Linked DNA regions of Arabidopsis thaliana. The protein of the gene in region 1 interacts with the protein of each later gene in a pairwise test. Each region holds a gene or a part of one and is shown in the gene's direction. Other genes may lie near its edges.

The links. Proteins that work in one complex are often made in the same cells at the same time.
Region 2: the proteins of WRKY43 (region 1) and AT5G08480 interact in binary tests that used the Arabidopsis thaliana proteins (3 or more experiments, as listed by UniProt).

Annotation. Positions count from the first base shown.
Region 1 is NC_003071.7:18,953,166-18,959,852, forward strand, and holds WRKY43 (WRKY DNA-binding protein 43), read left to right. Parts: upstream 1-4,046; 5' UTR 4,047-4,088; coding exon 4,089-4,237; intron 4,238-4,323; coding exon 4,324-4,504; 3' UTR 4,505-4,760; downstream 4,761-6,687. Other genes in the region: AT2G46100 (Nuclear transport factor 2 (NTF2) family protein), read left to right, coding at 161-521, 589-743, 824-890, 1,044-1,095, 1,215-1,302; KPHMT1 (ketopantoate hydroxymethyltransferase 1), read right to left, coding at 1,642-1,875, 1,973-2,026, 2,124-2,477, 2,845-3,246; AT2G46140 (Late embryogenesis abundant protein), read left to right, coding at 5,998-6,248. UniProt on the Arabidopsis thaliana protein: Transcription factor. Interacts specifically with the W box (5'-(T)TGAC[CT]-3'), a frequently occurring elicitor-responsive cis-acting element.
Region 2 is NC_003076.8:2,740,173-2,748,100, forward strand, and holds AT5G08480 (VQ motif-containing protein), read left to right. Parts: upstream 1-3,146; 5' UTR 3,147-3,671; exon of another isoform or gene 3,672-4,245; 5' UTR 4,246-4,313; coding exon 4,314-4,835; 3' UTR 4,836-4,939; downstream 4,940-7,928. Other genes in the region: PEX1 (peroxisome 1), read left to right, coding at 216-437, 802-1,002, 1,322-1,447, 1,527-1,588, 1,805-1,922, 2,155-2,427, 2,521-2,559; SLG1 (Tetratricopeptide repeat (TPR)-like superfamily protein), read right to left, coding at 5,036-7,585. UniProt on the Arabidopsis thaliana protein: May modulate WRKY transcription factor activities.

The DNA of each region.
Region 1 (6,687 bases):
GTTTAGCGAATCAGATTTATGCTCGTGTTACTTGTGTAACTCGTTACTATCACTATTTATTGTGTGGTCTCTGTTAACCACAAATAGATACTTTAAAACATTTTAAAGCAAAAAGTCGCATCTCCTAAATCAATCAATCACACAAAATTGAATCCTAAAAATGGTAGCTTCTCTTTCCTTTCATTCCATCGCCACCGTTAATCCAATCTTCTCCGGCGATGGTGGTCGTTCAATCTTCCGGACTAATCGCCGATTCGAAGCAACTGGAGTGAGTTGCCGAGGACAGAATCCTACTGACGAGCCACAGACAAGTAAAGGACCCGAGCCGGATAATGTTCTACTCAAAATCGCTTGGTACGGATCTGAGCTACTCGGAATAGCTGCTTCTGTTTTCCGATCTCCGGAGACTTCTCCGATTGTGACAGGCTTTGAGGTTCCTGTTGATTGTTCTGGTCGAGCCGTTCGTGTAGCTGTCGTGGACTCGATTAAACAAGACTTTAAACGATCCTACTTCGTCACAGGTCAGTGTAAAATCATCCAATCTGAATTCTGTTTCTTTTGTCTAAATCGAAATCTCTGAGTTTTCAGGTAATTTGACGCCGGAGGTTTATGAGGAGAAGTGTGAATTCGCTGATCCGGCTGGATCCTTCAAGGGTCTTGCTCGTTTCAAAAGGAATTGCACTAATTTCGGAAGCCTTATCGAGAAATCCAATATGAAGCTCATGAAATGGGAGAATTTTGAGGTACGGTCAACTACTAAAAGATGTCGGAGTAAAAGTTTCGTTTTTTGTTTCTCACCAGAGCTCCATCATGAGTTTTGCAGGATAAAGGAATTGGACATTGGAAATTTAGCTGTGTCATGTCGTTTCCATGGAAACCCATTCTTTCAGGTATTTATTTTATCAAGGAAACCTTAAAAGTTTTCAGATTTTTGTAGCCTTTTTAGGATAAAGTTTGCAACTTTAATAGCTTCAATGATTAGTAATGAAGACAAAAAGAACAAAACTTTTACTATGTCTTTTTATGGAAATCTGTTTTTACAGCAACTGGTTACACGGAGTATTATTTCGACACAGAATCCGGGAAAATTTGCAGGTAAAAAGATTACTTATGAGCTCATTAATATAAACCCCACTAATCTCTTTTCAACTTTGAAATCTTTTGTGAAGAAGAAGAAGCTGGTTAAACATATTTTGATGAATGTTGGCTTGCAGGCACGTGGAGCATTGGAATGTCCCTAAGATTGCTCTGTTCAAACAACTTCTGAGACCCAGCCGTGGTTTAGTGGGGACACAAAACTAGCGCAGATGAAGAATGATGTCAATTTCAAATTAGATTTTTTTAACCGTAAATATATGAAACTTGCTTCTGAAACTAATATGGGATACTCTGCTCTTAGAGATCTGTAATGAATCTATTCAAGATGACACATATAAACATACTATCACTGTCGCATTAAAACAAAGGTCCATTCTTCTCGGTTGGACAAGCAACAGAGAAACCATGCTTGAACCTCTTCAACCTTGCACCGTCTCAAGTTTTAACCGTACTCTATGAATTTGCATTCTCTTGAAAAAAATGATAATTCTCTAGTGTCTTAAGTACAATTGACAATATATCTCAAGCTTTTGGATACAATTGTCACTTTGAAGGCTCCATGTTCTCAGCTGCTAAAGCTGCTGCAGAAGCAGCCTTGTCAAAACCAAGCTTCTGCAACTCGGTTAAGAACCCATCGAGCTCACTTGCTGTGATCTTGTAAGGACTGTGAGAAGGACCTGGAAACACTTTTTTAGAGACTTCTTCTTTGTATTCCATTAGGGCTTTGTTAATCACTTCTCCGACATTAGCGTACTGCTTGCAAAACTTTGGAGTAACCTGTGAAATATAAGAGCATGAAACAAGAAGCATGTTGATAACGAACGAACGAACAAGAGAATGCGTTTCGAAAACAATAATTGTGTCAGGATTTTACCTTGGCATGATGTGGATGTTGCATCATACCAAGAAGATCATGGTAAACTAGCACCTGCATTTCCAAGAAAACAATTAACAGGTATGAGAAATGCAAATTTGTCTCTTGGCTACACACAAAACCGGAAAGAACGAAACTTTTCAAATAAAACCTGTCCACTGCAGAAAGGTCCAGCCCCAATGCCAATGGTTGGTATCTTGAGGGCAGAAGTTGCAGCAGCAGCTACAGGAGGTGGAACGCATTCCAAAACAACCGAAAAACATCCAGCTTCTTGTAAAGCCATTGCAGTCTCAACAACTTTAACAGCACTAGCTATGTTTCTGCCTTGGGGTCTGAAACCACCAAGAACGCTAATCGCCTGAGGGGTTAGACCCACATGACCAATAACCGCAATTCCTGCTTCAACTATAGCTTTTGCAGCAGTGATCCTAGAAGCTGATCCTCCTTCGAGCTTAATCGCATCCATTCCTCCTTCCTTCAAAACCCTAACCGCAGTATCAACCGCCTGAAGCCAACATTTAAACCCAAAATCAGGTCCCTAATTTGTTTCATTGACACAAAATCTTGTAAAGAATCTACTTTGCATAAGCAAGTACTAAAGCTAAATCTGTGATTACACAGGCAATGACACATTGACACATAATGTATCATTTAAGACTTTTTTTATCAAGAATCCAATCACCTAAACATTTGATCAGGAAATGAATTGAACATTGTAAGTCCCACTGAGTGTTGTGATTAATTCAGGTATTGAAATTGCAATCAAGAATCTAATTACCTACACAAAAATTAAGCAGAAGAACATGCCTTATCAACAAATATGTTTAATTTAGGTATCTAGAAGAAAAAAAGATTCAATTTTATAACATTACCTGACTAGAGCTTGACTCGTAGGTACCAAATGGCAAGTCACCAACTAGGAGAGGTCGTTTAGCGCCTCGAGCAACGGCACGACAATGAACAAGCATCTCGTCTAAGGAGATAGGAAGTGTTGTGTCGTGACCATGAACAACCATGGAAGCTGAGTCACCGACAAGACAAACATCGATACCAGCTGTGTCTAAATGAACGGCGGATGGGTAATCGTAGGCAGTTACGACGGTGATCGGTTCTCCTCTCCGGTGTTTTTGTCTGAGATGCGTTAGCGTCACTCTTTGGTTTGGGTTTTGTGGCTTTGGTCCTCCGTAGACGGTGTTTTCCGGTAGGTTACTCATGAAACGGACAGAGATGGCTTTTGAGAAGCGAGAGCAATTCCTAGTGAGTGAGGACGCCATTGTTGTGAAGATGAAGAAACCCTCTTATCTGTGACTGTGTCTGTGTTTACAAGAACAAGGAATTTTACTTTTAAGAAGATTCAATTCCTAGTGAGTGAGGACGCTGTTTAGATTCTGGCAAGTGGCGATTCAGTTCTGGGTTTCACACACAAATCAAGCATAGCAATGACACTGTTAGGAATTGTGATAGCTTAACTATAAATTCAATATTTTAACGAAATCAACAAGATCCGTTGTAGTCTAGCTGGTCAGGATACTCGGCTCTCACCCGAGAGACCCGGGTTCGAGTCCCGGCAACGGAGATAGTTTTAAAATATCTTTACTATATTAAACCGGATTTTGGTTCAGTCTGGTTATGTTAACCCAGTCTCTGTTTCTCTCTAGGCTCTAGCCTAACCCAGTCTCTGTTTCGATCTTATTGAACTTCTGTTCCAAAGGCGATTCCTTTTTTATTTTTCCGTTTCTGGGTTTAGATAGAGAAATGTAGAGATTGAGATCGCGGTTACTAGTTGGAACTCTCTTGGAGTTGGAGAGCATCCGAGGGTTCTGCACGAGCTCCTTTAAGATCGTAGCTTCGGTTCTTTTTTATGAGATTGCGCATTGTGATACCAAAACCGGATTCTACTGTTTACAGTTTCCAGGAGTTCAAGTAAAGACCAAACCATGTCTCTGTTTTTTAAGTCACACACGTGTGAGATGACGTGAAGGAATTTTTTGTTGTTGTTGGTCTGAAGTAGTTGAATGTAGTTGGCTTCTAAACCTTTTTATATATCTCTTCAATATAAATCACACGAAGAATTCTAACACACAATTCGTTGATTCATCATATCTCCTCTTCATTAATGAATGGCCTCGTCGACTCTTCTCGAGATAAGAAGATGAAAAATCCGCGATTTTCGTTTCGCACAAAGAGTGATGCAGATATTCTCGATGATGGTTATCGATGGAGAAAGTACGGTCAGAAATCCGTCAAGAACAGCTTGTATCCCAGGTAAACTTTTTAACATAAATAATCTGAAATTGTTTTTAAAAAGATTGTTTTTTTGTGTGTTTCTTCTCACTTATGATCATCAAAAGGAGCTATTATAGATGCACACAACACATGTGTAACGTGAAGAAGCAAGTTCAGAGGCTGTCGAAGGAGACGAGCATTGTGGAGACAACTTATGAAGGAATCCATAACCATCCTTGTGAGGAGCTCATGCAAACCCTAACTCCTCTTCTTCATCAATTGCAGTTCCTCTCTAAGTTCACCTAATTATGTTTGTATATATATTAACGTTCTAAGAGCATCTCCAATGGAAGTATCTCAATGAGATACCTAACAAAAGAAAAAAAATTAAAAAAAAAATATGAGAGAAGGGAGAAAAAGTAGGAGAGAAGGAGAGTTAAATTTCTCGGATGATTGGACAGGTGTAATCACACTATTAGTTCAACTATTAAATAATAATTAATGTATCTGTTTTGATTAAAATATTAATTAATATGTTTTTGAGAAACTTTCTTTATTTTTACTGGTGGAGATGGTCTAATGTTCCATGGTTCATATAACGGAGCAAATTAAAGCATTGTAATCATATATGTTTGCATGTTCATAGTTGCAATCTCGTTTTGATTATAAATCAGTTTTAAGCATATAACCAAAATAAAAAAACAAATCAATTGTAATATTCCGGTAAAACGATTACCACGTGATGATTATAGAGAGGCATAGAGCAATATCGTCTGGTAAACTGAATAAAACCGGATTTGGTTTCCATAGATTTTTCTCAAGCCAAATCAGTTTCCTTTCGTTTGAATAAACCTATTGGCTTATCGTGAGTGATTATTGTTTTGTTTATTTACACGATGAACAATGTCAATGAGACATGTCACATGTACGAAGTCAGTTCCGATATATTACATGAATTGCTTTCAAGTTTTGATCAGCATCCTTAAATAGTCACCGAAAATAAGAAGCGAACAAGTCTTGGCGAAGTTGAAGCCACAAAGTGTACTAATAAATATGGATTGCCGAATTAAAAGAAGAAACAAAAAAACTACATTTTCATATTTTTTTTCTTCTTCCATATATAAATCCACTTTTCAACTTAAGCAAATGCAATCAATGGGAAGGTAAGTATGTATACCTCTAAATCTCAAATAATCTTTAAAATTATAAAATATATATGTTTTGACTAATTTTAGGAAGATAAAATAATCTCTTATATTTTCATCTTCTTGGGATTATTTACCAAAAATTAATGTTTAGAAAGTAGTACTACTCAACATGTAGTTGTTAAATATCTTTAAAGTTTAAGTTTTGATAATGTTAAAATCTATTAAAAATAATTGGTCATAATAGTAAAACAACTAATAATTAATTTTTTAGGATATTGCTTAAAAGTTAAAACATATTGCTAATTTAAAAGTCATAATATACAAAATATAATTGTAGTATATTCTATAATAAACATGTTTCATCTTTTTTTCGGACGAGCAAAGAAGTAAGAACGCACGTTATGACCATGATGCTCTAAAAAAAGGATCTTATTCCTTTTCTAATGATGGAAAAATTATTATATTATTCCTTTTCCAACAACCAAAGAAAAATCAAAAATGTCACGCTCCGGCAATTAAGGTATTTATCATCCTTAAAAGAGGTACCAAAATATATAGAACCGACAGCGCCATAAACTTTAGAAAAGAGAGAGAGAGACAAAGAGAGATCTGATCCTTTGAAGAAACAACACCAAAAAAAAAAAAAAAAGAATGGCATCAGCGGATGAAAAGGTGGTGGAAGAGAAGGCTTCGGTGATTTCAAGCTTGTTGGACAAAGCCAAAGGTTTCTTTGCGGAGAAGCTGGCGAATATTCCGACGCCGGAAGCAACCGTGGACGACGTTGATTTCAAAGGCGTGACACGTGATGGAGTAGATTATCACGCCAAGGTCTCCGTCAAGAATCCTTACTCTCAATCCATCCCTATCTGCCAGATCTCTTACATCCTCAAGAGTGCCACAAGGTCATCTTCTCTTTTTTTTCTTCTTGTACCGTCTGATCTACTCTAACACCGTATTGTGCACTTTTTATTACACACATATCATGATAGTATCCGTATTCCGGATCTAGCCTAAGATAAATAGAATTTGTGACACATATTTTGATCATCTAAATTTTGAGAATATGAAAAATATATATGTGATATTTTTCGTTAAGTGTATCCGATCTTTGTACTAATGAATAGAAATGTGTATCAATTAGGTATATCCGATCTAATGTTTGACTATTTTTAATTGATAACAGTATTTAATATATATGTGTATGGATTTCGTTGGTAATTTGTCTGGTCTCATCACCGAAATGGCTAGATCTCATTTTCTCACTAATTGTATTTTTATCGCATTGTGCCGCATTATATATACATACATATACTAATTTCATTATCCATGTGCATTGATGAT
Region 2 (7,928 bases), on another chromosome or scaffold:
TTTCTATATGCTTTTAAATTTGCCGTTGTGCTAAGACCAGAAAAGACATTTGACAGAAATGTTGACAGACTTTGGAAGCTGATACTATCTGTGATTTTCATGTTATAAATTTTATTGTTCAAGCTTGCTATTTCGTTTTAACTTGATTATCATTCTGTCCGCAGATCTACAGTGTGCTCTCTTTGAATTCTCTTTTTTTTTTTTTTTTTTTCCAGGAAATATTGGTTGATAGAGCTGTTCATGCTGCCATTGGCCGGCATCTACCTTTAGAATCAAATATATCCAAATATAATTTGGTCAAAGAAGACTTTACTCGAGCTATGCATGATTTTGTGCCTGTTGCCATGCGTGACATCACAAAATCTGCCTCTGAAGGTGGTCGTTTGGGGTGGGAAGATGTGGGAGGTGTGACTGATATTAAAAATGCTATCAAAGAGGTATATGACTATGCTTACTGCCATATCTGATTTTGTTGCCCTCATTAAAATCTAAATTAGTGTGGGGTAGGAAATCTTGCCAATAAATGTTATCCTTTTATAATTGCAACCAGGAAGCATCTGTTTCCTGCCTCTTTGTCTGTTGGCTTTTACTTACTGAAGTTAGGTCGTGTTCAGTGGGAAACAATATTTCTGTAAGACCTGAGTTGATATAAGTTGAAATATCTTGGAATGAATCTCACGGAAATAATTCCACTGGGCTATATAAGAGCTACTAGTTATGCTAACAACTACAGTTTGAACCAGTTCTTATTTAGAGATATAATTCTAGATATGCAACTTTATTGCTCTTTGCCATGTCCAGATGATTGAGCTGCCATCAAAATTTCCAAAAATCTTTGCAAAATCTCCTCTGCGTTTGAGATCGAATGTTCTCTTGTATGGCCCACCCGGTTGTGGGAAGACTCACATTGTTGGTGCAGCTGCTGCAGCGTGTTCCCTACGGTTTATATCGGTGAAGGGGCCTGAGCTGTTAAACAAATACATTGGTGCATCTGAACAAGCGGTAAGAATGACAACCTTTCTTTGTTTTCCATCTTCAAGAACCTTTGAGATGGTTATCAACCTATTCAGTTCTTTAGTGACGCATGCTATTATCTATACTGTTGAATTTATTTTGATTTTTCTGGGTTTCTTGCCTAGTCTTTACCTTGTATTAAACAATAGAATGATAAAGAAACCTCTGAAAATGTTTCTAGAGAAAAGTTTTCAGACAGCTTTGTTCCTTTTTAATTGTTATTCCTGCTAGTCTCTTTACATAAAAATCTGAAAATGTTATCCTAATGGTTCCGCATATACAATAATGGAAAACACACTTCTCTCAGGTCCGTGATATATTTTCGAAAGCAGCAGCTGCAGCTCCATGCATACTCTTTTTCGATGAATTCGATTCAATTGCTCCCAAAAGAGGACATGATAATACTGGTGTAACTGATCGAGTTGTTAATCAAGTAAGTTACTTCAAAGTCTGAGCAAATTCTATCCAAGTCAAAGTTCAAACATCTCATGTCATATTTTTCTTTTGCGTAGTTTTTGACAGAACTGGATGGAGTTGAAGTTCTAACAGGGGTCTTTGTATTTGCTGCAACCAGGTATTCACACCCGAATAAGTCTATCTTGCATATCATATTTTGTGTTCGATGTATCATATAATCAACTGCAAACGGTGGATTCTTCTGAGTTGATAGTTAATAATAAATCTTAAATATGATAATCTTGAAGCCTGTGCTCAGTCCTCAATTTATGTTTTTCATTACATACAAAAGAGGGATAATGACTTTATAATGGATACATGACTCAATTAACAGTAGACCAGATTTACTTGATCCTGCCCTCCTAAGGCCTGGCCGGCTTGATCGTCTTCTTTTGTGCGACTTTCCTTCCCCACCAGAACGATTAGAGATTCTTACAGTTCTTTCTAGAAAGGTTAGTACTCTCAGTTACATCATTTCTGCTAATCATTTTTGTCCTCAAGTCTCATGTAAAGTATGTATGCTACATATCTGAACGACCATTAACTAGAATCTTCTATGGCTAAGCGATTTCCATTGGATTCTGACATTCAATTGATGGTCTCCCTAGACAATATGTAGATAAGATTTATCTATATATATTACAAGTAGTTAAGATGACAAAAAATCTTTCTGCATTTTTACAGCTTCTGATGGCTGATGATATTGACCTAGAGCCTATAGCTTTGATGACTGAAGGCTTCAGTGGAGCTGATCTTCAAGCTCTTCTCTCAGATGCGCAACTTGCAGCTGTACACGAGTATCTGAACAGAGAAGATAAACCCGAGACCGGAACTACACCAATAATAACTGATCCTCTTCTGAAGTCGATTGCTTCTAAAACTAAACCATCGGTTTCCGAAACCGAGAAACAAAAGCTCTATGACATATATAGCCAGTTTCTGGATTCAAGAAAATCGGTATCTCTCTCATCTCCACTCTAATTCCTCTTCCCTTTTATACAAACCCAGTTGTTGATTACTAACAACATCAAAATCTTATTTTGCTTGTAGTCAAGAGAAGCAAAGGGCAAAAGAGCAACCTTAGCATAATCAAAGGTATTACAAAGACACAAAAAGGAATGGTTACATTGTAGAAATCACATCATGTTGTAAAATTTGCTTTATGATAGATATGCCCAGTTGTTAGCATTAGAGTAAAAGTGGTTGAAGTTTGGAATAAAGATAGTTAGATACTAGAGAGACACATGGTAAGTTCTACAAGATTCAAACGACTATAGACATCTCTACAGTAATAAGATTAATACATTTCTTTTGGCAATTTTAGAATTTTAAAAGCTGTAATATTTTTGGTCAAAACAAGATAAAAATGGTATTCAAGTTCCGTAATTTTGTGTATGAAATGAAATAAAAACGCATAGAAAAGAGTCAACTATTATCGTGCAACAAAATTTATCAGTCCAAAGCAAAAAAGGAAAAGAAACGACAACGTATTCGTAACTCACAGGTAAAGGTTGTTGCCTCCTATCTTTGACAATGCCAGTGAATAATGTTGTTAATTGTTATGGCCATAACTTGAAATGAGTCAACAAAATTATCCACAGAGGACGAATAGAGTCAGTTAAGAAACTGTCATGAGTACAGTTAATAATATCTCATCACATTCAACAGAGACAGCCAAAAAAAAAAAAACGATTGGTTTATAAATTGGGCGGGGGAGAGAGGTTGCTGTGACGTCTCTCTCTACCCATCTCCTTAACCGAAACGGCATGCATTTCTTCCTTCTTTAACTTCCTTTCTCCATTCCTTCACGACAACAATGAAATAAACTCATCACAAATTATGTCATTTTGATGTTTGACCAAACAAACTTAGTTCTATAAACAAAATAATTTATTATCTTTTTTGTGTGACAAAAACCCAAACCCAAAAACGGTTAAGAACAAAGGGATAAAAGAGTCCTTTTCCTCTTTCCTCTCCATATTCTTCTCCTGATTTTCCTCTTTTCATTTTCTTCTCTTTTCTGGTAATATGAACAAGTTCTGAGCTGTGACCATTAGACCAACAACAGTCTTTATATCTTCTTTTAGTTCTTTCTCTCTCTTTTTATTTCCTTCTTCTGTTTTAAGTTCTATTTCTTCAGAAAAAAATCCGGCATTCTCATTCGATTTTACCTCCACTTGTTGCCTCGGCTTGCTCTTCAGGTATGCCTTTTGACCTTTTTATCATTCTCTCTGACTCCTGTAGGGTTATCAAATCGTAAATTGAATGCTACATAGAAACTTTTATTAACAGTTCTCTCATCATATGAACTAGTAACCACCATAAAGATGATGATTATGACGATGAAGATAGATTTAGGACATGAAAAGCCCTCTTCATTGTCATTCCTACAATTAGTAAGAGCACCAAACTTTGATATAGATATTTGAGTATACAACAAGTCAAAGCAAATTTAGGAGAAGCCAATTTTTTATTATTTTTCCCCACATAAGAATCTAGTGCTCTTGTAAAAGTGGTGAGGTTTGAGTACACGACTACCTCATCTTTTGTATCTGTAGCTATTTATGTTTTGAGTTGCTTGTTTTTGAAAAATTATGACGAAGGAAATCTTTAACAAATACCTAATTTTGGATTACAAGAAGACTTCTGAGTATTTCTAACCTTCCATCAATCTAATCTCTGAACTCACATGAAGTTGACATTCCTCGGTTCTCTTGATAGGACCTTTCATGTTTGAATATTTTTTCATCTTCTCATCAACTGCATAAACGGTAGTTTTGTTGCAGGTCAGAGACCAAAATAGGTGTAAATCAAAGGTTGTTTTGTCAGAGAAACACTTACATATGAATAGCAAAGGGAGTCAAAACGTTGCAACAACCTGCAAGCCTGTCACTACATTTGTCCAAACTGACACCAACACTTTCAGAGAAATTGTGCAGCGCTTGACAGGTCCAACAGAGAACAACGCTGCAGCAGCAACACCAGAAGCAACAGTGATAAAAACCGCCATACAAAAGAGGCCAACTTCAAAGCTCCATGAGAGAAGGCAATGTATGAGGCCAAAGCTTGAAATTGTCAAACCTCCTCTGAGCTTTAAGCCCACTGGTACGACACCATCATCTAAATCTGGTAATACCAACCTTTTAACAAGTCCAGTGGGCACCCCTTCTTCATTGTTCTCTAACTTGTCCTTGATAGAAGGGGAACCAGATAGTTGTACAACAAACATCGAAGAAGAGGAGAAAGCCATTAAAGAAAGACGCTTTTACTTGCATCCATCGCCAAGGTCTAAACCGGGGTATACAGAACCAGAATTGCTTACTTTGTTTCCTTTAACATCTCCCAATTCGAGTGGCAAACCATAAACCCGACAGATTAATCATAAGTTTGTTCTCTGCCTACTATCCCAAAGATTATGTACATGTAGAGTTTCACAACAATATCATTGGAAGAGGAAGATTGTTCTCTTACATTGTTCACTCAAGATTTGTCTGTGTCATATGTGCAATTGCTTTGTGTAGACCATCATGATCTAGCTTCGCAGCGTTTTAACAATTTTCATCGATTAAAACACCACAGGCTCTTTCATCTGAAGATATAAAGCATTTACTAAGTCAAAAATACTGTCTCTACGAGGGTGAGAACAATCTCCAGACACAAAGACATTCCTTTGCCCATCCACTTCTAGCCAGCTACATCCCGCTGGCTTTTTCATTTCCTTTTTCTTCATTAGGTTTCTCAACTCCATCACGCCTTCCCATTTAGCATCTGCAGCATACATATTCGATATTAGAACGTGGTTTCCGGTGTCGTCAGATTCAGCTTGCAAGAGATGATTTGCAACTGAGTGCCCCAGATCCATCCTATTATAGGTTGTACACGCCCTTAACAGTGTTCCCCATATATTTGCATTAGGTTCAACTGGCATCTGTGTGACAAAAGAATATGCATCATCAAGTCGACCCCCTCGAGCAATTAGATCTACAGCACAAGCATATTGTTCCATTGTAGGTTTCATACCGTGAACTGTCCTTATTGAGTCATATATTTGCAATCCATCCTGTATTAACCCTGCATGACAGCATGCAGTCAACATAGTAGTTATGAAAACATGATCGGGCTTTATGTTTGATTCAGTCATATGAGAGTAGATCATAAGTGCTTCCTTGCCCCTACCATGTACAGCATACCCAGCTACCATAGCAGTGAACATAACCAGATCTCTACGAGCATCTGACTGGAAGACAGAATATGCATGCTTCAAGCTGCCACATTTAGCATATACATCTAGTAGAGTCCCCTTCAGGCGGATATCACCAAGTCCGCCTCTAATAATATATCCATGACATTGTCTTACTAGATGCAGAGAGGCTAGCTGCGCACAAACAGGAAGGAGATTCATGATAGTCACAGTGTTAGGCCTCATTCCTCGAGCTTGAATCTCACGGAAAACACCAATGGCTTCATTAGGGCAACAACTTTCAGCATAGATACGAACCATCAAACTCCAAGTGGTGAGATCAGTAGTAGACATCTCAGTGAAGAGCATCTGAGCATCATCATGACTTCCACTATTAACATATCCTGATAACAATGAGTTATAGGAAACCAAAGTTCTCCTCTCTGATAAACCCAGAAAAATCTTATGAGCGTATTCAACATTACCACATTTGGCATATGCATCAAGCAATGCATTGCCAAGCTTGGGTTCCTCTTCATCGTGTAAAAGACCAGCCTTAACTGAGTACCCATGAACTTCTTTTACTTTACCAATTCCCTGTACATTTATGCAAAACTTTAGTAGGCTTAAAATAGTAACAGAGTCAAGAGTGATTGCTTCATTAAGTAAGTGGTGCAAGAGATTCAAAAATTGAAACTGCTTTGGACTGTCTGCAAAGGCATCAAGTATAGCATTCCAAGATATTATATCCTTCGTGGACATCAGTGAAAAGGCCCAATATGCTGCACTTGTGTCACCAAATCTTGCATAGAAACTAATGAGAGCATTCCCAACTGATGTATCCTCCAAAAGGTAAGAATGGCGCAATATATAACTGTGGATCTCTTTCCCAGAGGCCAAGTCAGTTAATTGCGCACAGACAGGAAGGATACTGATAATAGTTACCGAATCAGGAGAAACATCCCCCTTATGCACCAAGTTGTGAAATAACTGAAATGCTTTAAACCACTCACAATTTGATGCATAACCAGCTATGACAACATTCCATGAAACTAGATCTTTAGAACCCATCCTGGTAAACAATGAGGCTGCTTCTTCTATCCTTCCGACTCTCAAATAGAAACTAACAAGTGAATTACATACAAAAACATGGGTTTGCAGCCAAGACCTCTGCACAACATAACTGTGAATCTGTCTACCACTTCGACATGCAATGTTCTTGTCCATAGAAGCGCAAACAGGCAAAACATTTGCAATTGTTGCATAATTTGGCTCTGTAGGTTCCTTCAGCATTAGACAAAACGATCTAAATGCATCAGCCATCATATTATTCTCAGAAAACCCAGCAATAATCGCATTCCAAGAGACAACATCTTTATCAGCTATACCATCAAATGCAGTATAAGCATCGGGAAAAATAAAACCAAATTTGGCATACATGGAAACCAAAGCATTCCCCACAAGTGTATCTTTCTCCAAACCGGCTTTAATAATATAAGAATGCATACTCTTCCCATTGTATGAATCCCCAAGGCGAACACACAAAGGAAGAACAATCGCAAAGGTAACAGAGCTCGGCTTAGGTTCATCTGCAAAGTGCATTGCTTTGAAAAACCTCATCGTTTCACGACCGCAAGAAACAGAAAGTCCAGTCAGAACAATATTCCAAACAACAGGATCAAGACTGTCCATTTGCCTAAACATCTTCTGGCAATCATCCATTCTCCTGCATTTCGCATACATGTTAAGAACTGACTTCGAAACCTCAGAGCAGGCTATATGACCAAGCTTGAACACGCAACCGTGCAGAGCCCTCCCTGATGTGAGATCAGACACTGAAGCACAAGCTTTGACAACATCCAGAAAAACCCTGTGATCAGTTCCAAAACCAGACAAAAGTCTGAAATTCTGAACAAATTGCCGTAAAGGGCCCATCTTTCCCCTGAATATCCCAACAACGGCCCTTTATTAGCAAAAAATCTACGTTACATTGGGTCAGACATTTTCACAAACACCTGATATGCAAGAACAGTTTCTCTAGATATAAGCGTTGTCGAGATGTAACAGACATAGAGAAACTGAAAAAGCAATATCTTTATCAAGCTCCTCAATTTATCAAGCAATGAAGGTGTCTCTCAGTCTCCATCTCCTCCACATACAAGCGACAGTTTTTGTCTTGAGTGAATTGAAAATTATGAATATATATGGACTATTCCGATTTAATTAAAACTGAAGGGCTAAAAAAGAATATATTAATTTACTTAGGTCCTTACATGAA